Linked DNA regions of Arabidopsis thaliana. The protein of the gene in region 1 interacts with the protein of each later gene in a pairwise test. Each region holds a gene or a part of one and is shown in the gene's direction. Other genes may lie near its edges.

Region 1 (4,076 bases):
GATTTCTACTTTAAGCAAACGGGAAACATCTCACAGTTTTGACTTGTGATCTTTTATCCTACTCTTATTGGTTCTAAAGTGCATACACGTAAGCGTATACATAAGCACTCGCATTTCACAGTAGCCAATCGATTGATTCTAATCTTTGAACATGTAATACACTTCATGGCCACTCTTTTTTTCCGGGAACTATCTTTTTTTTTTGACATGGAAAAAGACCATTTTTTGATTTATAACGTGCATACTGCTGTGTCTTTTTTCTAAATAAATAGTTTTTATCAAATATGTAATCATACTAGGGAAAATCTCATCAAGATCATACGTATTTTTGTACATGACTTTTAAATAGTATATTCGCCGAAAAATACGTTGATGTCTCGGAATTTGACGCCTCAAAAACATTAGAATATACAAAATCAAGTAACGAGTTTGTAGGTTGAAACTAAAATGCCACGTAATACAGTGCGTAGGGTCCATTCGATGTTTCTAGATCAAAGTCTACACACTATAGAGACTTCCAGATACAGATACACATTCGAAATCATCAATGAAAAATAACAATTTAAGTATCTTCTTATCCTAATGTGTGTGTGCTTTTTTTTAGTCAACTATTTTGTGTATATTGTAAGATGTATCATGTTATGACATGAGTATGTTGCTACGTGTCGTGAGATATCGAACCCAACGCAGATATGAGTATGTTGAGCTAGTTTCTTCTTATGAAACAATCATATATGTCTATAATGAATAGATCACATTATCTGCCTGAAAAAAATCCCGTATATTACTCGACGAAATATAAATACCCAATGTAGCTGATTTTGCTTTCTCTGGTGACATATCCAATTTGGCTAAATTTGTTAACTAGTCTATTATAGGTTTATAATAGATCTAGCTATGTTAAAGATACTAAAGCATCAGTTACATAAATTTTTGGCGCGAGTTTATATCTTTTGGAATTAAAAATAAGAGAATTTAAAAATAAGAAGATCATTTTGTTTGGCCACAGGAGTTCTGAAAGGTCAGGTATGATTTTTTTCTTGCTCGCTCTTATGATTTTGTTTTTATTAATGGGTTTTCAAATAAGAAAAACTGTTTTTCGAAGCCCGGTTCAGATCCATTGTTTTTTGTAAAATATAGGCCCAATTCACCATAAGTCCATGACCAAAACAAAAATAAGATAGAACCAATACTGAACCAGGATCTTCTCTCGCTTTCGTGATCAATGTCGCCAAGCTTCTCGAGATCATGTGGTCACGTCAATTGTATAAATACAATTATTGACGTAACACAATCTCTACAGTTCCATCGAAATATCTCGAAAATTTCCAGTTAATTCTGGTAACGTGAACGTATCTTCCACCTCTTCAACCTACACAGCTTTCTAGAAATTTGGCTCGCTTTTCTAAGTCCTCTGTATTTTTTTGCACGTTTTTCAACTAAGTTTCAATATGAATCATTTCTTCTATAAATAAATGATATTTTCATCAGGTAATGATACATTGTGCCGAAATAAAACGTCAATACTCATTAGTCAAATTAATTGTTCACATAATTTAAAACTGTGTTAATCCATCCAGTTATTTTCTTACAACAAAATAATCTTTTCCATCAACTTTTAAAATAATTAAACGCAGTGCTAAGAAATCTAAAATCTTGATTTAGAAATCCATTATGGTTTCTGGTCAACTGAAATCCATAATTTCCTTTAACATCCAAAATCCAAATTTGCTACTATGATAATAGATTTCAGACGATTTTTTTTCTTTTTTCAATCATAGAGTCCACACGAATATTTGCAAGTTACTATATAAAACACTATAATGGTCAACAGATAAAAAAAAGGCGAATGAAGATATGTTACGTAAAAAGAAAATACTGTAATTATAAATTATTACTTTAAAAAGCTTTAAAATCTGGCCACATGTTTTTAAAGAGTGGTGTGACGTAACGACTAGAGTCAGCACAATCCATTATTGTATCATAAATATTCTCATCTATAAATTACCTAAACCCTTACAGGTAGTGTCCCAACCAAACAAATCGAGAAAGACGAACACTTACAAAAAAAAATCTCTTTGTGAGCTTTAGCGATCGTAACAATGGCGAACGAGGTGATTCTTCTTGATTTCTGGCCGAGTATGTTCGGGATGAGGACAAGGATCGCATTGAGGGAGAAAGGTGTTGAATTTGAGTACAGAGAAGAAGATCTAAGGAACAAGAGTCCTTTGCTTCTCCAGATGAATCCGATTCACAAGAAGATTCCTGTTCTCATCCACAATGGTAAACCGGTTAACGAATCTATCATCCAGGTTCAGTACATTGACGAGGTCTGGTCTCACAAGAACCCTATCCTTCCTTCTGATCCTTACCTGAGAGCTCAAGCTAGGTTCTGGGCTGATTTCATTGACAAGAAGGTATCTTATTTCCTTTGTGCCCTTGATTGAATAATGTTGAAATTGAACTTGGGATTTCATAAAAATTGAAACTTTAGTTGAGTTTGCTAGTGATTGGCTCAAATTTAGGGTTTTGCTTGTAGACTCGTCTTTGAGCTTGTATGGGTTTGTCTGATGTTATAATATTACTTGAGTTTGTAGTTGTTAGGGTTAGAGATCTCACCTCCAAATTTCAGATTTTTCTTGTGGACTCATCTCTGAGCTAGTCAGGGTTTGTCTTCTTAGATAGTTTAATGTTATGTTACTTGTGCAATTTGAGGTTTTTACATACTAGTTTCGCTAGTAGATATCATCTTTGAGCTTTGTTTGGGTTCATCTTAGATAGTTTGATGATATGTTTCTTTTGCAATTTGGGGGTCTCTAGGACTGGTTTTGCTTTGTAGACATCATCTTTGAGCTTTGTTTGGGTTCGACTGAGTTCTGACATAGCTTGGTGTTATGTTACTCTGTGCAATGTTTCAGCTGTATGATGCTCAGAGGAAGGTGTGGGCGACAAAGGGTGAGGAACAAGAGGCAGGGAAGAAGGATTTCATTGAGATACTCAAGACTCTTGAATCTGAGCTTGGAGACAAACCTTACTTTAGTGGCGATGACTTTGGCTATGTAGACATTGCGTTGATTGGATTCTACACATGGTTTCCAGCATACGAGAAGTTTGCTAACTTCAGTATCGAATCTGAGGTTCCGAAACTGATTGCTTGGGTTAAGAAGTGTTTGCAGAGGGAGAGCGTGGCTAAGTCCTTGCCTGATCCTGAGAAGGTTACTGAATTCGTCTCTGAGCTCAGGAAGAAATTTGTACCTGAGTAAATATGTTTCTCTTGTCATATGGTTCGGACTTAAGATGCTCTCTGTTTTACTTTCGTGTGTTGTCTTTCTTAAATAATGCAGAGCATCTGTGAGGTGGTTTGAGTGTAGAGAATGTATGTCTTTGCTGTAGCAGATTCCTGTGTTTTCTGGATTTAATGGCTTGTCCTAGTTTTTATGCATTGTAACTATGAGTTTAATTAATGATCGTTAATCTATAATGATTATTAATTTGTTACTTTGATATGTAATTACGCCAATACGACTCTTCTACCTGACCAAGCTTATCACGCCAATGTTGCTGTAAAAGACAATAGTGCAGTTTGGCGATTAAAACCTCCAACATCGAGAATGGTAAGCCGGTCTGGATCTAATAAGCCCAAATTGGCATCCATAAGCCCAAATTGAAATTGGCATCCATAACTCCATATTGTAGTCAATTGGAAGTTATGTGGTTGATGTGATCATTAGTGTCGGTATGATCAGATTAGCCACGGGTTTAGTGTTTCTTGCCGAATTTGAATTCGGTAGATCAAATAACATTACTATGATCCGCACAGTTCATGGGATTTGAATTTGATTTACGATTACAACAACGATATTAACACAGAACTATCCTGTAATTTTTGGGATCGATTAGTAAATTTTAAAATATTATTTCAAAGGCTTTATATATATAAAGAATTTAGAGTATAAACATAGATAAAGCATTATGTATTTATAAATCTTATGCTGATATTGAAAAAATAATGGTGTATGTGATATATTTAATAGAGTGCAATACTCTCTCAATAAATTAGTATAGCTGTTATCACT
Region 2 (6,460 bases), on another chromosome or scaffold:
CATACAAGCTGCTCACACTCAACTTCGTTACCTGCACTACACATATACTTCTAAATTAGGCCCTAGTCAATCCAGAGCCACACTTTTTAAGAGAACAACAAAGAAATTAAGAGAGAGGAGCATTTTAGGGGGGCATGTCACCTGTGCCAGAACATGAATTAATGCCCCTAGCTAGGTAACGAGTCCCTGGATGCAGTCTGCTACGACGGGCCATTAGAGCAACAATCCCTTCTAGCTGGCCTGAGCTCCCAAAAGGTCGATATTCTGCAAACCCCTATAATTAACATCAAATAAGAAGATGATGTCATATCAATTTATATGCTTTTGAATCTTCACACAAAACCGAAATCGGATAGGTAGATCAACCTTCATCAATTCATTAATGGAGGACGAACCTGCAGAAGAATGACACAGTGTTCAGGTAGCCCAATATTCTTAAAAGGCACGGACAACCATCTATTCCAAACAAATTCATCATCAGGGCTTTGAAGTGGCATACGGCTTGGGAAGGGCCGAGTGATGTCTCTAGTATCACAGAAATAGTGCTTCCCGTCGATGTCAAGCTCAGTCAACTCCTGAATATTCTTGGTTTCACCTTTCCCTTGAGGCTGTGGATTGTAGAGTGGTATTTTGACCCATTGACTCTCAGCCACTGTATATACACATCCACCACCAGGCAAATCTGGAATACTTGGATTTAGCCTGGTCGCAACTAAAAGCATCCCAAAGCTCCCCAAGACAGCATAACCGAGTATTGCCCTGGCATAAACAGAGCTTCTAACACCTCCTCTTGATCCATTCGTAATATAATCTAAGGCTTCACGCTCTGACTTAAAATTATCAAGGCCAGGCTTCCCATTGTACCGCAGGATACCAGTCGTAGGATCGATATAGATAACTTGAGTATCAGCCTTAGATAACAAACTTGCAATGACATAGACTTCACCAGTGTCTAAGGTGACAACAACTACAGATGTCTTTTTTGAACCACCTACACCAAGAAGATAAGAAAATTAGCCAACCAAATGATGAAAACAGCTAGAGTGAAAAAAAAAAACACTTGAATCTTCAAAAAGAAACTAACCTGGTGGATGCAGATCCATCTGAGCTCAGGACCAAGCGGACCAGGTGCCCTCTTTGACAGCTTCAGGGACCAAGATATCAATGTGGAACCAAAAATCTAGCAAAAAGTCAACGAAATAAGGAACTTCCATCAGAGAAATAAAAAGCAATGGAATCCAAAAAATGTAGCATAGTTAGTTCTATACTTAAAACGATTCATCAACGCCAATTAAAATCAAAACAGAGAGATCATCTTCCTAACAATAATCTCCGATATAACTGAGACAAAAGATCAGAATTTTCTCACAAATTTCGATAGAAGTAATAAAAAAAACGAGTACCAGAGATCTGAGACTTTTTCCGAGAATAGCAAAATTAAAGACGCAAATCGATAATTCAAATTCCGAGAAAGCAGAAAGATAAATTCTTCAGAGAACCCGAATCGAATCATAAGTCATAAGAGAAGGAACTCACCTTGAAGTTGTAGAGATGATCAGATGCAAAATTTACCAAGTCGTTCGTAGACGAACAAACGAAGAGGAAGAAGAGTAAATCTGCTGTTACCCAACACACAGTACAAAAACAATCATAGTACGACACGTGTGAATCTGTTTAATTGATTTATGAAAAAAGAGAAGAAATTATTGATAACTTGAAAATTGGTCCAATTAGTTTTAAAATGTAACGAATAGACCCAATCAAAAGAAAAGACAAAATAAAGTATAGAGATGATGAATTAACGGCTTTGGACAAGCCACACGATTCGCTTTGCTTATCTTGCTCCACCCAATCCAAATTGAGACACAATCTCTATCGAATCCACGCGCCTCTATCTTTTTTCAATCGAGTCGCCATTAACATATTTCATCAAGCTCAGTCCACTCTTCTCATGAAACTTCATCATCATCGACCTTGACCCTGATAGGTTATTAAAGTTACTGCATTTGATCTCTCTTTGAACTGCTTCTGTTGTTCAAGGTTCCAAACATGCTCAGACTCAGTAATTGAATAATGGGTATTCTTGTTGCAGGTTTCAGACGACACCCATTATTGTAAATCTGCTGCTGGAGTCTTTTTTGTCTGAATCTTCTTCTTGTTGAGACACTGTTTCTTCTTGGTCTGTGATTTTTGTTTTGTTCTCATTAGGACGTTCTTTATTCCGGTTCAGATTTACTGGATCGTCATTTTCTCTTTGAAATTGTATTTTTTTGTTCCTTTTCTGGTATGTTGTGAAAGCTATGAGATTGCTGTAAGAATCCAAGACTGACCAACATGTTTCCCCTGTGCTCGGCCACAAGCTGCCGTTACCATTCTCAGGTTAGATTTTCTTTATAGAAGTGAAAGTAAATAAGCTAACTGGTAGCAAATTTATTGAAGTCATCCAATTTGAGCTATGGGTGTTACGCTTTGTTAGTGCTTTGGGTTTTTGGATTCATTTTCATAGATAAGTAAGTACCTCATAACGGGTTTGTTTCTGCAGATTTTATTTCCTGGCAATTGGCGAGGCTGTTCTTCCTTCAGGAGAGAGTTGATTCACAGATACAGTTCAGGTGACAATGCCTTCTTTGGTATCTCTAATGGAACACGCCTGCAGAAGAGTTTCGTACCTCAAGCCACTGGGAGTTTCTTGACCGGTACTATCGAAAAAACAGAACAACCAGTATCAACATTCGGAAGTTTGTGCCAGAATGAGTTGGACAGAATAAACTACATGGTTTATAACATGAGTGAAGCTTTTGTAGCGAGTGATGAGGGACTGACATATGTAGAAAATGGAGAAGATGTGTTCCCTGTTGAAGCTGTTGCAGCAGATGTTTCTCCTGTTGAAGCTGTTGTACCAGATGTTTCCCCCATTGAATGCCTTTCTGCTGAGACTTTAACCGATAAGACCAGTAGCCTTATAGACTCTGTTGAATCGGGAACCAATGCGACTGTTAAAATATCTCCGGATAGTTCAGTCTCACTTCCTGATGCGAAAGCTAGCTTTGATGACTTTTCTTCTGGGCTCAAGCAGTCCTTCAGCTCTTCACTTCCTGATGCGAAAGCTAGCGTTGATGACTTTTCTTCTGGGGTCAAGGAGTCCTTCAGCTCTTCACTTAACCAAGGAGAAAATGCTGTAAAGAACACTTTGGAGTCCTTCTCCTCGTCTGTGACATCCATTACAAAGAATGCTTCTGAAGTTGTAGATAGTGCAGTTAACAGAGCGTTTTCTACGCTAGACCAAACGGGAGATGTAGCTGGAGACAAGTTTTCGAGTTTTTCTACTGGCTTGAAGGAAGCTTCAAACAGAGCAGCTGTTATTGCCATTGATCTGCTGAGGCAATCAGTTAGTCTTGGAGAGAGATCTGTAACAAATGGAGTTTCTTTTGTTGTGTACTCTTATGGATCAGCAAAAGAATTACTTCCTCCAGATGTAAAGAGTGCCCTTAACTCGTCAGAAGATGTTGCTCTAAAAGTATTGAGTCCCGTGGGAGCTGTATTGCAGCAGGTGCTTTGTCTTATATACTGAAGGTTCATTCATATTTTCGTAGAAGAAAATTAATTCTTTATGGACTACAGTTGCTAACAGTATCATGATGAACAGGTATCTGTTGCCATTGGAGGTTTGGAGAGAAATATCGGTTTGGATCCAGATGACCCAATCCTTCACCTTTTTCTCTTCGTAGGCACCACAGGAACCTTTTGGTACACGGCTTTTCTTACCCTAGAAGGATATTAAACTTGCTTTTCTTGAGAGGACAATGTAGTATAGAAGAATTTATATTTTCCACCAGATATTTGCAGGGTTCTATATCGGGTTTGGACATATGGTGGATATGCTGGAGATTTGTCTCCCAAGTCAACTCTGGACCTTTTAAAATCAAGAGACAAGTCAGTGCTCATAGATGTCAGGCCTGAAGTAAGACGCTCTTAAGTTTCTAACAAGTTCCCATTTCATGATATATAACTTTTCAAAACCCACCACAATTTGATTATTTCTTTCACATAATGTTCATCAAGGAGTTTGGGTTGAAATAAAAATGCTCATTTTGGCTACTGTCTTTTTGAAGGCCTTGAGAGAGAAAGATGGAATACCTGATCTGCGGAGATCAGCTCGATTTCGATATTCTAGCGTGACACTGCCTGAGGTTGGTTTTAGCATCCTCATTGTTGTTGACCACAGCGAATATAGAAACTCTACACATGTAATCTATGAACACAACGAGGTTTCAGCAATCAGTGCAACAGAAGTAGGATATCAGACTTTTCTTTATTCACATTTTTTATGGGTTCTTGTTCTTGATTCATGTTTAAGGTTGACGGTGATGTCAAACGGCTACTGAAAGGTGGAAGTGAAGTAGATGATATCTTGACAGCAGTAATCATCAAGAACTTGAAAATAGTTCAGGTGTGCTACCTTCATGCTTCTTTTGTAACTTACTATGGTTTTGTGGCTCGAGCTGTTTCAGTTTCTAAGTATGCTGACATCTCATAATTTTGCTTACTCTCCCACTAATAGGACAGGTCCAAGGTTGTTGTTATGGATGCTGATGGAACTCGTTCAAAGGGTATTGCAAGAGCCCTGAGAAAAGTTGGGATTAAGGCAAGTCATTCAGGCATAATTCACTTTGAACACAATAAGTTACCTTTAAACATTTTCGAATAAGCTCTTCTTTGGTTGCCTATGATGTGACAGAGGCCATACTTGATGCAAGGTGGGTATAGATCATGGGTACAGGAAGGTCTTCGTGTGAAAGAGCCAAAACCTGAGACAACACTTACCATCCTCAACGAGGTAATACCATATGAATACAAATATGTTTGGACTGTTTCTTCAGCTAGATGAAATTGAAACTGCTCTCAAATCTTTTCATCAGTAAGTTAAACATATCTTAAATGCTTTTCAGGAAGCTGAGGCGATTTTTGAGGACATAAATCCCTCTCCATTGCAACTATTTGGAGTTGGTGTGGTATGCTTCTAGTTCTATTTTTCTATTTCCGTTTAATAATAATCCCATCCTGACTAATATAAGAAGATATATGCAGGGTTTTTTCGCAGCATTGTATGCTTTGTCTGGTGCGTTTAATTCTTTCTCATTTCCCCTTTAGAATATCTCATATTCTCCACAACACACAAGCTCCTCACATCCACGTTTTGCACTAACATGATTGCTCTATCTCTCGCAGAGTGGGAGAAAACACTGCAACTCATAGCTGTCATCGGCCTTAGTCTGGTATATACTAGCCTTTCCAGTTTCTAAGTTTTGTCAAATTATAGTTGCTTTGTTTTGTTTTTCAAGTTTCAAACATTATGCAGACTATATACCTACGACTTTCTTCATATGATGACTCCGAAGACTTCAAACAAGACGTCAGGTATAAAAGCGCCATCATTAGACCCTTTTTCCATAGCAAAAACTCAGCGAAACCTCTGTTCTGTCTTAACAAAGATTGTTTCATCTTCTTCTTCAAGGCTGTTGCTTGCACCTGTGAAACTCGGAGCTCAGGCTTTCTCGTGGGCTGCAGGAAAACTAGAAACAAATGGTGTTGGCCTCCCAACTTCGCCTTCTTCTTCAGATGTTCGAAGCCGGGTTTTGCAAGCTGCTGCTAAGCATGAATCGAAACCCTCTGATGAAACTTCTGAAAGTCTCCAAGATGCATCATCGTCACCAGAAGAAGCTTTGAACAACGTTGATGTCTCCGAAGCGTAAAGACTCTGAAAATTGTTTTCTATTTTTCTTATAATTGCCAAGAATTACTTTTGTTCGTCTCTTGGAACCGTTAACATCGGCAACAGAAAAAGTGTAATAAAAAAAAACTGTTTTCTTTTCGTTCGGATGCTGAGATTTGTTTTGCAAATTTAGAACTAGCTAAATTGGGTCAAAAGTTATAGGTTACACGTAAAATTATTACAGCAATTTCTCCCCTAATAACTTTGGGCTTTAGGCCCAATAACAGAAGGCCTTAAAGTGGCATACTTAGGGTTTAGTGAAAAAGCAATCGTCATCCTTGACTCAGGGGTCAGGTCAAATCCAGGAGAAGAAGAGGTAATCATTCTACACAGATAGAAACATTTATTTTTTGTTTAATCAAAAGCTAACATTTTGTTGTGACAGTTCTCGTGTTTTCTTAATATAGATGGCAAGACTGATAATCGTGCCAGAATCCGTCTTATTAATCAAGACAAGAACAAATACAACACTCCAAAGTATCGGTTTGTTGTTAGATTTGTATCCTTTTAATTAGTTCATCACATTCCCAGTTGTTAGTGGTGTCTGTTTACATTCTTCCTATCGAGTTTTGTTTGGCCTTGAATGTGAGGAAAGCTAACTTGATTGACCGTATTCGTACACTTCACTCAGCTGCTGAAGCCATATCAATGAAGTTGACGACGAGTGAAAACGTTTCTTCTCTTTAA
Region 3 (6,311 bases), about 17 Mb from region 1:
TACTAATTATATCTTATCTTTTTTTTTCTTGGTATGATCTTAATATTATTTATATATCACTCTTCTATGTAATTATCTCTATATATAGTGTAAGAGTGTCCAACGAGCTCGGTAGGGGAAACCCCGAAGGCGCCAAATTTGCAACAATCGTAGCGGTTTTCACGTCACTCTCTATAGGATTAGTTCTATTCTTCGTCTTCTTGTTTCTAAGGGGAAGAATTTCGTACATTTTCACTACAAGTGAAGCTGTGGCAGCCGAAGTCGCTGATCTTTCTCCACTTTTAGCATTTTCCATCCTCTTGAACAGTGTTCAACCCGTTCTCTCAGGTATATACATTAGCTAGTTCAAGCGTGATGGTTATCATCGTATCGAATTCGAACTGATATTTGAAACGTAGTATATGCCTTTAATTGGTTTCAAACCTTATCAGGAGTGGCAGTGGGAGCGGGATGGCAAGGATATGTGGCTTACATTAACCTTGCTTGCTATTACCTTCTCGGAATTCCTGTTGGTCTTGTCCTTGGTTACGTTGTTGGTTTGCAAGTCAAAGTAAGTTTTTCTCTTTATATATTTTTTCTTCATAATGAACAAAAGTAATAAAATTAACAATTGAAAACAACATAAAACTTTACTTATCTTTTTTTGAAGGGTGTATGGATAGGAATGCTTTTTGGAATATTTGTTCAGACTTGTGTGCTTACCATCATGACTCTCAGAACAGATTGGGATCAACAGGTTTAAATAAACAAAATTGTAGTTTCCCCTTCCAAAATAATTAGTTTGTTCAAGCAAGCTATGTTATTGGTTTGGAGCTTAATTATATTGTTTGTTGCCACTTTTTTCTGTAGGTATCTACGTCGTTGAAAAATATAAACCGGTGGGTTGTACCAGAATCTAGAGATGCAAATCAAATTTCATCAGAGGAATAATTCGTTTGGATTATGATATGAACAAAGATATTATATAATTATGATGTTATTTTGGGCAATAGTTCTTTCTAACTCAGATTTTCAATATGAAATAAATTTTGATGGTAATTTATTAGGCTTTTTGTTGTTGTTGTTGTTGTTGTGGTACAATGAAAAAAGAGAGTACAATCTATATAATTTATTATAATCAAAGAAGAGGATAACTAAAATTTATTAATGAGCTATTTAAAAGATAAAATCCCTTTTAGTTCTTTAATTTCACCAACATGTTAACTCATAGTAAAATTAAACTTTGGTAGAATTTTGAGATATACTAGTTATTGAAATAGTGCGAATTAGGGTATGACCAATAAAAAGAAGAGAGTACCTTTGGAATTTTGGGGAAATTTGTGTGCTTACTACTATGATGACACTAAAAGAGATTAAAATAATCATGTTTTATAAACTGATTACCATTTAAAAAAAATGAAATTTCTTCGTTTATCATAGGAAAAGTACAAACATGTTTAAAGAAATTATATTGGTAATTATTTTTAAAAGATCTTCGTGGCTAAAACGTTAAATTGATTGATTCATTTTGACAAAGAAAAATAAACGTTTGATTCTGGAAATCCTCATAATAAATATATACGACAATCTTAATTCACTAAAAATTGTAATTGCTTACGTTGCTTAGAACAAGAATTTGACTATTGTAGTTTGATATGCTCGTTTCTTGATTTTTTTTTTATATTTTTATTTTTTTTAAATGGGTTTATTATGCAACACATAGACACGAGACTCACGACCAAGAAATATGTATATGAATAATTATATTTTTGATAAAAATATTTTGTTTTATTCCAATATACTTTCCAAACACACACTTTTTAAGCATATATAAAGATAAAGTTTAGATATGAATTATAGATAATTGCATTTAAACAAATGATCGATGAATGCACGATCTTAGGTGATCTTAAAATGCATCTATTTCTTAGAGTATTTTCATCACTTAGTCACTCACTGCTACAAAAGGCGTTGACGACCTTTTGTTTCCCAGCTGAAATATAAAAAAAATTGCTTCTTAAACTCAAACTCTCTGCTCTCTCTTTCTTCTATTTATTTCCTCCTATCAGATAAAAACACATAGACTCCACGATGGCCGGAAGAGGAGGAGAGCTCACGGAGGCTCTGGTGAAAAAGACCGGCAGAGAAGAAGAGGATGAGTTGGGGATGAAGGAGAAGGTTTGGATTGAATCAAAGAAACTGTGGGTTGTGGCGGCGCCAGCGATCTTCACAAGATACTCTACGTTCGGAGTTTCAATGGTAACTCAAGCTTTCATTGGCCATCTTGGCCCAACCGAGTTGGCCGCTTACTCTATCACCTTCACCATTCTCCTCCGTTTCAGTAATGGTATCTTGGTGAGTTTACTATAGCGATCTTGGTAATGGTATACGTAGCTTCATTTATATCAATTTTTCCAATTTTATTTAATCTAATGAATCCCTTGATTACTATGGATTCTTCTCCGCTTCAGTAATGGTATCGTGGTGGTGAGTACTACTTCAATTTTTATTTAATCTAATCTCTTGATTATTAGTGATTAAGAAATAACTATATTACAAGGTCAGACCATGTAGGTGAAAATTAAAAAAAAAAAACATGTAGGTGAATTTATGCTATAACTAAGTTGCATGGAAACGGAAACAGAAACGCGGATGCGAAACGTTTCAGAAACGGGAATCAATTTTTTATTAAAATTAGAGATTAGAAACGTTTTAAAAACATATAAATATATATATATATATACATAAAACTATATTAAATAAAAAATGATTTAAACAATATAAGTCTAAACTATCAATATTAAATAAGCTAACTAAAATTCTAAAAGATAAAGATTAAAATTTAAAAGATTCAAATTTTAATATCTAATTTAGACCAACATTTTTATTCTTATTTTCATTAGTTTCATCAAAGATAATATAAAACTCTCTTCAAATCTGGTTTATCAAGAAAAAAATCTTAAAACTAAGAGTTTTCCAAAATTAGTTATATGTATTAATAATCTTAATATTTCCAATTTTAGTTATTAAATTTTCAAAGTCAATAAAAAATATTTGTCGTATGTCTATTTCAAAAACGCGAGTTTTCATCGTGTTTCCAAACATGGATTTTTAGGAAACGCGTTTCCGTAATAATTTTTGCGTTTCCGAAACGTTTTCAAAATAAGTTAGACCAAAACTATATTATAAAATTTGGTCTCACTTATTTGAATTTTTAATACAGATTAGGTGGTCGTGTGAAGAAACTATTATCAAACTCAATTAAAATTTGTATAAGTTTATATGGTTTTGGAGTATTTTTTGGATATGTAATTCCGGTTAACATTTATTTTGAAACTACACAATGCAAAACTACAGCTGTCTCAAATTTGGTTATAACTATTGTTCTACTGCAGTTAGGTATGGCCGGTGCACTAGGAACATTATGTGGTCAAGCCTACGGAGCCAAACAATACCAGATGCTCGGGATCTACCTCCAAAGGTCATGGATCGTCCTCACAGGTGGTACCATTTGCCTCATGCCCGTCTTCATCTTTGCGGGCCCTATCCTCTTAGCTTTAGGTCAAGAGGAACGCATTGTTCGTGTGGCTCGGGTCTTAGCCCTATGGGTCATAGGCATCAACTTCTCCTTCGTGCCCTCCTTCACTTGCCAAATGTTTCTCCAAGCTCAGAGCAAGAACAAGATTATTTCCTACGTGACTGCTGTCTCCTTAGGGCTCCATGTCTTCTTCTCGTGGCTCCTAGTGGCTCATTTCAATTTTGGGATCACTGGTGCGATGACCTCTATGCTAATTGCGTTCTGGTTGCCTATCATTGTGCAGCTCTTGTATGTAACATGTGGTGGATGTAAGGATACATGGAGAGGATTCTCTATGTTGGCCTTCAAAGATTTGTGGCCCGTCTTAAAACTATCTTTGTCTTCCGGTGGAATGCTTTGGTAAGGTTTCCTATTTTTGTTTTGTGTTTTGAACACTTAATTAAGGAATTAGCTAGTAGTGGATCAACCAAATGTTTTCATACTGATAGCTTTAGTTTTCATTGTCATTGTTGGTCAAAACAAGAGATTGGTTCCACTTGATGCATATACTTAGTCCATGTATTAGTTTTCAGGCTGTAAACTATATAATATAATTATCAATCTTGTAGGATTTGATCCGACTGTTACATTTACGCATATACTCCTGAGAATGTTAGGAGTATATTATACACACTTTTAGGAGTATATTTTTTTTTTGGTGAATTACTTTTAGGAGTATATTATATTCACTGATAATTTAATGATAGTTCTAGTTACTTTTTTCTTTTGTTTTTTTTTTTCTTTCTAATTTACTTATCTTTTTAAAAATTGATGATGATTACTTTGTGGTCGTTATTTTTTACAGCTTGGAGTTATGGTACAACTCGGTATTGGTATTGCTCACTGGAAATTTGAAAAACGCAGAGGTGGCTCTTGATGCACTAGCAATCTGGTAAATAAACAAGAATTGACCTTCTATATCTATTCTGATCTCCATACAAAACATTGAAACATAAATACATTTTCTTTAGTACTAACTTGACTCATAAGTTATAGTATTGTATGAGTAATGGTACATACAAATAATATATTATAAATCGACTAATCTTTTCCATTTATCTTCGCAGCATCAGCATAAATGCACTGGAGATGATGATAGCACTTGGGTTTTTGGCAGCAGTAAGGTGCATTGATACATATATAGATTATATACAACACACTTCACTTTATTGATACTATTTCTATATTATCTTTTTTTCTTGGTATGATCTTTTATTTATATATCATCTTATTTGTAATTATCTATATAAATAGTGTAAGAGTGTCCAACGAGCTCGGTAGTGGAAACCCCAAAGGAGCCAAGTTTGCAACATTGATAGCGGTTTTCACGTCACTCTCTATAGGAATAGTTCTATTCTTCGTTTTTTTGTTTTTGAGGGGAAGAATTTCCTACATTTTCACTACAAGTGAAGCTGTCGCGGCCGAAGTTGCTGATCTTTCTCCACTTTTAGCATTTTCCATCCTCTTGAACAGTGTTCAACCTGTTCTCTCTGGTATATATTTTAGCTAGTTGACGCGTAATGGTTATTATAGTATCGGATTCGAACCAATATTTGGAGTAGTATTTATCTATAATTGGTTTAAAACCTTAACAGGAGTGGCAATCGGAGCGGGATGGCAAGGATATGTGGCTTACGTTAACCTTGCTTGCTATTACCTTGTCGGAATTCCTATTGGTGTTATCCTTGGTTATGTTGTTGGTTTGCAAGTGAAAGTAAGTTTTTCAGTTTATATATTTTTCTTTTATGTTGAAAAGTAATAAAACTAACATAAAACTTTACTTCTTTAATTTTGAAGGGTGTATGGATAGGAATGCTTTTTGGAATATTCGTTCAGACTTGTGTGCTCACCGTCATGACTCTCAGAACAGATTGGGATCAACAGGTCAGAAGTTGATTACTATATAATATTCCCTGAATTAATTTGTTTAAGAAAAAAAATTGTAGTTTCTCCTTCCAAAATAATAAGTTTGTTCCTTAGCAAAAATAATAATTAGTTTGTTCAAGCAAGCTATGTTCTTGGATTGCAGCTTATACTGTTTGTTGCCACTTTTTTGTAGGTATCTACGTCGTTGAGAAATATAAACCGGTGGGTTGTACCAGAATCTAGAGATGCAAATCAAATTTCATCAGAGGAATAATTAATTTGGATTATGATATGAAGATATGATAGATTTAAAGATTATGATGATGTTCCTTTTTTATGAAATGTGAAAAAAAAAATTGATAAAAAATAAAGGTTGTTTACAGAAGTTTTTAAGGAGCTTGTGAATTACACAAAAACAAGAGCATACAAAGAAAAAACAGACCTTCACGTTACGGTCCATTAAATCTTGAACTGAACCACCGTAGCAACAGCCCTCTTAGCTTCCAATTTTCGTAGTACCTCAAAGACATGATTTAGCTTAGAGATTTTTATCTGAATATAATCAGCTTAGTGTTGAATTTGAGTTATATATACTCTTTTTCTCTCGGTGTTCTATTGTATTATGTCATTATGTGTGTAGAACTAGAATCGTCTCCTTTGCCCGTAAACATAGCCAAAATATTGTTAGTACCAAGAAACGTAAATTTGGCCATGCATATATATATAATTTACTCCATTTGTTACTACAGTTTTTTGGATTTGTTTGGTGACTTTAAAAATGTTTTCATGTTCGTGACCTCATGATGATGATTGATCGATTGTGAAAAAAGGACAGCTTTTGTAAGGAAATACCGATCTAATACTACAGTGACGCGACTGCTTACGTAGA
Region 4 (5,339 bases), on another chromosome or scaffold:
ATAAAAAGGAAGCAAATGGTTCATGGTAAAAAAACTATTACACAAAATGATGCTTTACATTCACATATAAGTAATGTCCACTATTTTTTGTAACATTTCCTTCTGATTAATTTTAGGTATGTTCCTCTCGCTAAATGCCTTTCCAAGTTACCTAGTGGAAATGTCCAGAGTTGGCCTGAACTATGGCCTAAACGGCTTGTGAGTGTTAAACCGCAAAGCATTTCAGTTAAAGCGGAAACATTGAAGAAAGATACAGAGAAATGGTCAGCAAGTGTTTCTGATGTTTACCTCAAACATCTAGCTGTAAACTGGTCGACTGTGCGGAATGTGATGGACATGAATGCTGGTTTTGGCGGGTACATTTACAATCTCTGAAACTTTAACCAGAATCCGGTTTATCCCAAACTGAAACTTGACACAAGTTTTTCTTCTTTTCTTCTTTTTGGTATAGTTTTGCTGCTGCACTTATAAATCTACCACTCTGGGTGATGAATGTTGTCCCTGTGGATAAACCTGACACTCTCTCCGTCGTTTATGATCGAGGCTTGATCGGAGTTTACCATGATTGGTGTGAGTCCGTCAACACTTACCCTAGAACATACGATCTGTTACATTCCAGTTTCCTCCTAGGTGATCTCACACAAAGGTAAACAACAGATCTGAGTTTGTATATCTATAGAGTTTCAGTTCTTTAGCAGTAGCCAGTAGGCATTCACTGTTTTGGTTCGGTTCACGGTTAGCTTAACCAAAGTCGGAGTTGTCATACCAAACTCGGTTTGATATTGCGAATAGTGTGGTTAACCTTTAATATGTGTTTTTTGGGTCAATTTCAGGTGTGAGATTGTACAAGTGGTAGCTGAGATAGATCGGATAGTGAGACCAGGTGGATATCTTGTGGTACAAGACAACATGGAAACAATAATGAAGCTTGAATCCATACTTGGTTCGCTTCATTGGTCAACCAAAATATACGAGGACCGGTTTTTGGTTGGTCGGAAGGGATTTTGGCGTCCCGCTAAACCGGAGCTCAGATAGACAGAACGAGAGACATAAACATACTAGCAAAGTAAATTTGTACACTACTATCAATGACGCAACCAGATTATATCACAGCGTACTATATAACCCATTAAGGGGGTTTTGTTTTGACTTTCTGATTTTGTTCCATAAGAAGAATTGAACGAAACCGAGTCACTAAAGACTACATAAGATATTAAAGTTAACGAGAATAATTCTTTTGCCAACAACATATATTGTTTTGAGCAAAACAAATTGTTTCTTATATCTTAGATTCTCAAGGTTTTGTCCAAAAAAAAAAAAAAAGATTCTCAAGGATATTTTGTTTTTGTCACATTGGTTCCTATAACAAAAGAATATGGAAATGTTGACAAAATAAAAATAGTAGAATGTGAATTAGAATTAAGATAACTAAAACATAGAGGGGTTTGGTTGATGACAAGTGACCAGACCACGAGGATCCCACATGGGAAGAGAATTGGGGACGAAGAAAGCAACAGCTAAGCAACCTTCCACTTTGAAATAGTCTCACATTACTTAAGATGACAATCATTCCTTCAACCTCAATCATTCAAATATCATCACACCAAATCTATCGTGGCTCTCGTTGAATTTTATTTATAACCGACACAAATTGTAAGAAATAACCAAGAAAATCAAGAAGGTGGAACCATTCGTCCATTCCCTACGCCACAAGTCTTTTTCAACGGTGGATGGCTGGCTGGCTGTCTAATTGAGCCTTTTCTTTTGAACCCCTTTTAGTTCTGTAACTACATTTTACCAGGTATAATAGTATATTAGTTAATATTAAGCCGTATTACACATTTTTTTTTTTCACCTAACGTTTATATATATATATAATATTTTTTAGTTACAGAAAATCCTCACCACTTTAAATTACGATGCAATAAGATCAATCTAAATGGATAACTTGTAAAGAAAAGAAAATGATACAGTATTCGTGGTTCGGAATAAGTCAAGTATGATTCGAACATCGTACAATATTGGTATTTGACAATAATCCTTGGAGAAAAAACAAATAAAAAGTTTCTGCAGAAAAGTTTAATTTTCATAAAAATACAAAAAGAAAAACGTTGATTGGTTGAGAAAAATACGCACACTTATTTAGTTCTTCTTGACCAATAAAATAAAATAAAATCTCCTAAAAGTCAAGTTTCCTCAATCGGGCAAAACACGGCGGACGCGCTTTCTTCAATCAAAAACTCGTCTGCTAATAAGTCTCTTTTCGTCTTCAGCTTCTTCCGCTTTTTCTGATTGCTTCTCTGATCTCTTATCTCTAATTCTAATCCATAGTAAACTCGATTTCATCATCTTCTGCTCACAACACTTACTGTTGTTGTTGTTGTTGTTATTGTTCTTCTCGATTCACTCGATCGATGTTGTTCAAAATGCGTTCTTTTGTGGCTTTTGTGCTCCTTCTGAGCTGGTTCGGTTCGTGTTGTTCTCTCAAGGACCAAGGTAGAGACTTTTTTTCCGTTTCACTTACTCGTTTTTGTCTCTTTGGTAGTGTAGAAACAGAATCCAGTTCCCTGATTCACATCCTCTGTTTCGCTTTTACGTTTTCAGCTGTAGATTTTCTCAAAAGTGAAGATAGTTTAAAGAAAGATCTATCGTCAGATGAAGATTCCACGTATTTGTAAGTAGCAGCTTCAGGTTTCTGAGATTTCTATTGGGTCTTTAGATTAGAAACACTCTTGTCACTTGTGCTGATTCAATTTCTCAGTTTCCTAAGAACAACTCTTAAAGTTTCGATTTTACTACTTTTTATTCTCTACTCTCAATCTATCTTGACTTTGAAAGATTTTTTGGTATAACAACAACATATATGTAGTCAAGATCTACAAATTTCTCTAATCATTTCATAGCTTCATTCTCTCTATGTATGTATGGTAGAAGAAACTGTTGTTACTTGTAACCGACACTTCTAAACTTGCTATATTTAGAGCATGTTGTGCAATGGCTTAATTTCTTCTTCTACCTTTTCTTAGGAAAGCTTTTGGATTTCACAGGAAAACACTTGTCCGTAACCCTTACAAAGACTTGCCTTCAAGAAAAGACCGCAAAAACCGTGTTGTGGCTGCAACTACAACACCATCATCATCCCCAGAACCTGCTCCAAAACATGTTTCAACTAAAGCTTCAACAGTTTCAGAGCCACAAAAGAGATCATCTACACAAGATGTTTCACCTTCTCCATCTGCGCCACTTGCAAACTCTCCCATTCCAAGAAACTCTCATTCTTCTGTTCCTTTAGTTGTTGGCTGCGTAGGCGGTGCTTTTTTTCTTCTCCTTGTAGCTACCGGTCTCTACTTTTTCACAAGTAAGGCCGGGAAAACTGTGAATCCTTGGCGTACTGGTCTTAGTGGACAACTTCAGAAAGTATTCGTTACTGGTAATTTCCTTTCTTGAATTGTTTTGGCAAGTGCACTTACTTGGAGTAGTAACCAAATTTGTCTCATTTGGTTTCATCAATGTGTGGTTTTTGATACTCAGGTATTCCTGTACTCAAAAGATCTGAGATTGAAGCTGCATGTGAAGATTTTAGTAATGTCATTGGATCTTGTCCCATTGGGAAGTTGTTCAAAGGAACATTATCAAGTGGAGTGGAGATTGCTGTTGCTTCTTTTGCTACTACTACTGCCAAAGACTGGAAGGACAGTACAGAAATTCACTTCAGGAAGAAGGTATTGTTTTCCCCATTTTTGTTTTCTTATAACAACAACATATAGTCGACTTAGCGCGTTCTGTTTTCACGATTTCAGATCGAAATGTTATCGAAGATCAACCACAAGAATTTTGCAAACCTTCTTGGTTATTGTGAAGAAAAGGAACCTTTCACCAGGATCTTGATCTTTGAGTATGCTCCAAATGGATCACTCTTTGAGCATTTACATTGTGAGTACTTTTGTCACACAATCAGCCATGTTGGCTTCATTTCTTTGTGATCTAAAGAGAAGCTAATCATTTTTTTGTTACAGATAAAGAATCAGAACACTTGGATTGGGGAATGCGGTTAAGAATTGCAATGGGATTAGCATATTGCCTTGACCATATGCACCAACTCAATCCACCTATAGCTCACACCAATCTCGTCTCATCATCTCTTCAGCTCACAGAGGATTATGCTGTCAAAGTATCAGATTTCAGTTTCGGTTCATCTGAGACAGAGACTAACATCAACAACAACACAGTCATAGACACACACATCTCAGCCTTGAATCCAGAAGACAACATTTACAGCTTTGGTTTACTGTTATTCGAAATGATAACCGGGAAACTCATAGAATCCGTTAACAAACCTGACTCAGTAGATAGCTCGCTGGTTGATTTCTTAAGAGGAGAGACTCTAGCCAAAATGGTAGATCCAACACTGGAATCTTATGATGCCAAGATTGAGAATATAGGTGAAGTGATCAAATCATGCCTTAGGACTGACCCGAAAGAGAGACCTACAATGCAAGAAGTCACAGGATGGTTACGGGAGATCACGGGATTGTCACCGAACGATGCTACACCGAAATTGTCACCTCTTTGGTGGGCAGAGTTGGAGGTTTTGTCCACGGCGTAAGAGAGACCCCTTCACTAATAAAACTGTATATATTTTGAAGATGTGAGTTTTGTAAGTGTCTGTTTTATTTATCTCTCGTAATATTGGTAAAGCAAAATTGAAGTTCTCTTCAAGTTTAGTAAATTTACAAACATGTATATGATAAATTAGTGTGCATATCGGAAAAAAGTTCTTGTGAAAATTATATCCGTTTTCTTCTATATGAATGCATTCTTTTGTTCAAAGTTATTTTGTAGCAAAATGATAAGAGGAGAAATTGCAAAATACTTTTAAGAATATAAGTGTGCATAAATATTTTCATGGTTTGAAGAGATATTTTATTCTTGAATAACTTGGCAAATAGTTCCTCGGGACTCATGTCTTCTTCGTCGGAGAAATAAAGGTCTTTGACAGGTGAAGGTGGAGCTTCTTCCATCTACCGCTTACGGAGAGGAGGTTCGTCTTCGTGAAACCACAAGTTCGCTTCATCCGACATCACATCATACATATTCCTGTGATTTCGCTGAATAGTCTAGTCGTCTTCTACTTCCAAGAGAAAACGGAAACCTAATAAGTGATGGGTTTGTAATACTTTTGTTGCACGGAAACCCCTTTACTTTATTTTTAATGTAAAAAGACCTCTACTCTTTTTAATCCTCAACAATCAATCAATAATGATTTTAACACTAATTAACATCTTCTATAGATAATTTGGGAAGAGTAGAGTCCAATTGGCCTAATTGGGTGATGGATT

The links.
Region 2: the proteins of GSTU19 (region 1) and AT3G59780 interact in a protein complementation assay, tested with the Arabidopsis thaliana proteins (one large-scale study listed by BioGRID).
Region 3: the proteins of GSTU19 (region 1) and AT1G33100 interact in a protein complementation assay, tested with the Arabidopsis thaliana proteins (one large-scale study listed by BioGRID).
Region 4: the proteins of GSTU19 (region 1) and AT2G40270 interact in a protein complementation assay, tested with the Arabidopsis thaliana proteins (one large-scale study listed by BioGRID).

Annotation. Positions count from the first base shown.
Region 1 is NC_003070.9:29,485,846-29,489,921, reverse strand, and holds GSTU19 (glutathione S-transferase TAU 19), read left to right. Parts: upstream 1-1,914; 5' UTR 1,915-2,102; coding exon 2,103-2,417; intron 2,418-2,918; coding exon 2,919-3,263; 3' UTR 3,264-3,535; downstream 3,536-4,076. UniProt on the Arabidopsis thaliana protein: Catalyzes the glutathionylation of 12-oxophytodienoate (OPDA). In vitro, possesses glutathione S-transferase activity toward 1-chloro-2,4-dinitrobenzene (CDNB) and benzyl isothiocyanate (BITC), and glutathione peroxidase activity toward cumene hydroperoxide.
Region 2 is NC_003074.8:22,084,572-22,091,031, forward strand, and holds AT3G59780 (Rhodanese/Cell cycle control phosphatase superfamily protein), read left to right. Parts: upstream 1-1,761; 5' UTR 1,762-1,987; intron 1,988-2,092; 5' UTR 2,093-2,334; coding exon 2,335-2,379; intron 2,380-2,542; coding exon 2,543-3,550; intron 3,551-3,646; coding exon 3,647-3,747; intron 3,748-3,846; coding exon 3,847-3,961; intron 3,962-4,112; coding exon 4,113-4,190; intron 4,191-4,357; coding exon 4,358-4,450; intron 4,451-4,561; coding exon 4,562-4,645; intron 4,646-4,738; coding exon 4,739-4,837; intron 4,838-4,949; coding exon 4,950-5,012; intron 5,013-5,088; coding exon 5,089-5,119; intron 5,120-5,229; coding exon 5,230-5,276; intron 5,277-5,359; coding exon 5,360-5,418; intron 5,419-5,515; coding exon 5,516-5,753; 3' UTR 5,754-5,958; downstream 5,959-6,460. Other genes in the region: SAC9 (sacI homology domain-containing protein / WW domain-containing protein), read right to left, coding at 1-31, 142-274, 396-991, 1,085-1,103.
Region 3 is NC_003070.9:11,995,613-12,001,923, forward strand, and holds AT1G33100 (MATE efflux family protein), read left to right. Parts: upstream 1-1,887; 5' UTR 1,888-2,070; coding exon 2,071-2,334; intron 2,335-3,374; coding exon 3,375-3,916; intron 3,917-4,361; coding exon 4,362-4,448; intron 4,449-4,623; coding exon 4,624-4,680; intron 4,681-4,810; coding exon 4,811-5,049; intron 5,050-5,151; coding exon 5,152-5,270; intron 5,271-5,353; coding exon 5,354-5,440; intron 5,441-5,615; coding exon 5,616-5,696; 3' UTR 5,697-5,809; downstream 5,810-6,311. Other genes in the region: AT1G33090 (MATE efflux family protein), read left to right, coding at 89-327, 432-550, 650-736, 850-930.
Region 4 is NC_003071.7:16,821,403-16,826,741, reverse strand, and holds AT2G40270 (Protein kinase family protein), read left to right. Parts: upstream 1-1,581; 5' UTR 1,582-2,414; coding exon 2,415-2,496; intron 2,497-2,604; coding exon 2,605-2,674; intron 2,675-3,026; coding exon 3,027-3,430; intron 3,431-3,531; coding exon 3,532-3,722; intron 3,723-3,800; coding exon 3,801-3,933; intron 3,934-4,016; coding exon 4,017-4,606; 3' UTR 4,607-4,808; downstream 4,809-5,339. Other genes in the region: AT2G40280 (S-adenosyl-L-methionine-dependent methyltransferases superfamily protein), read left to right, coding at 1-25, 117-356, 452-646, 834-1,035.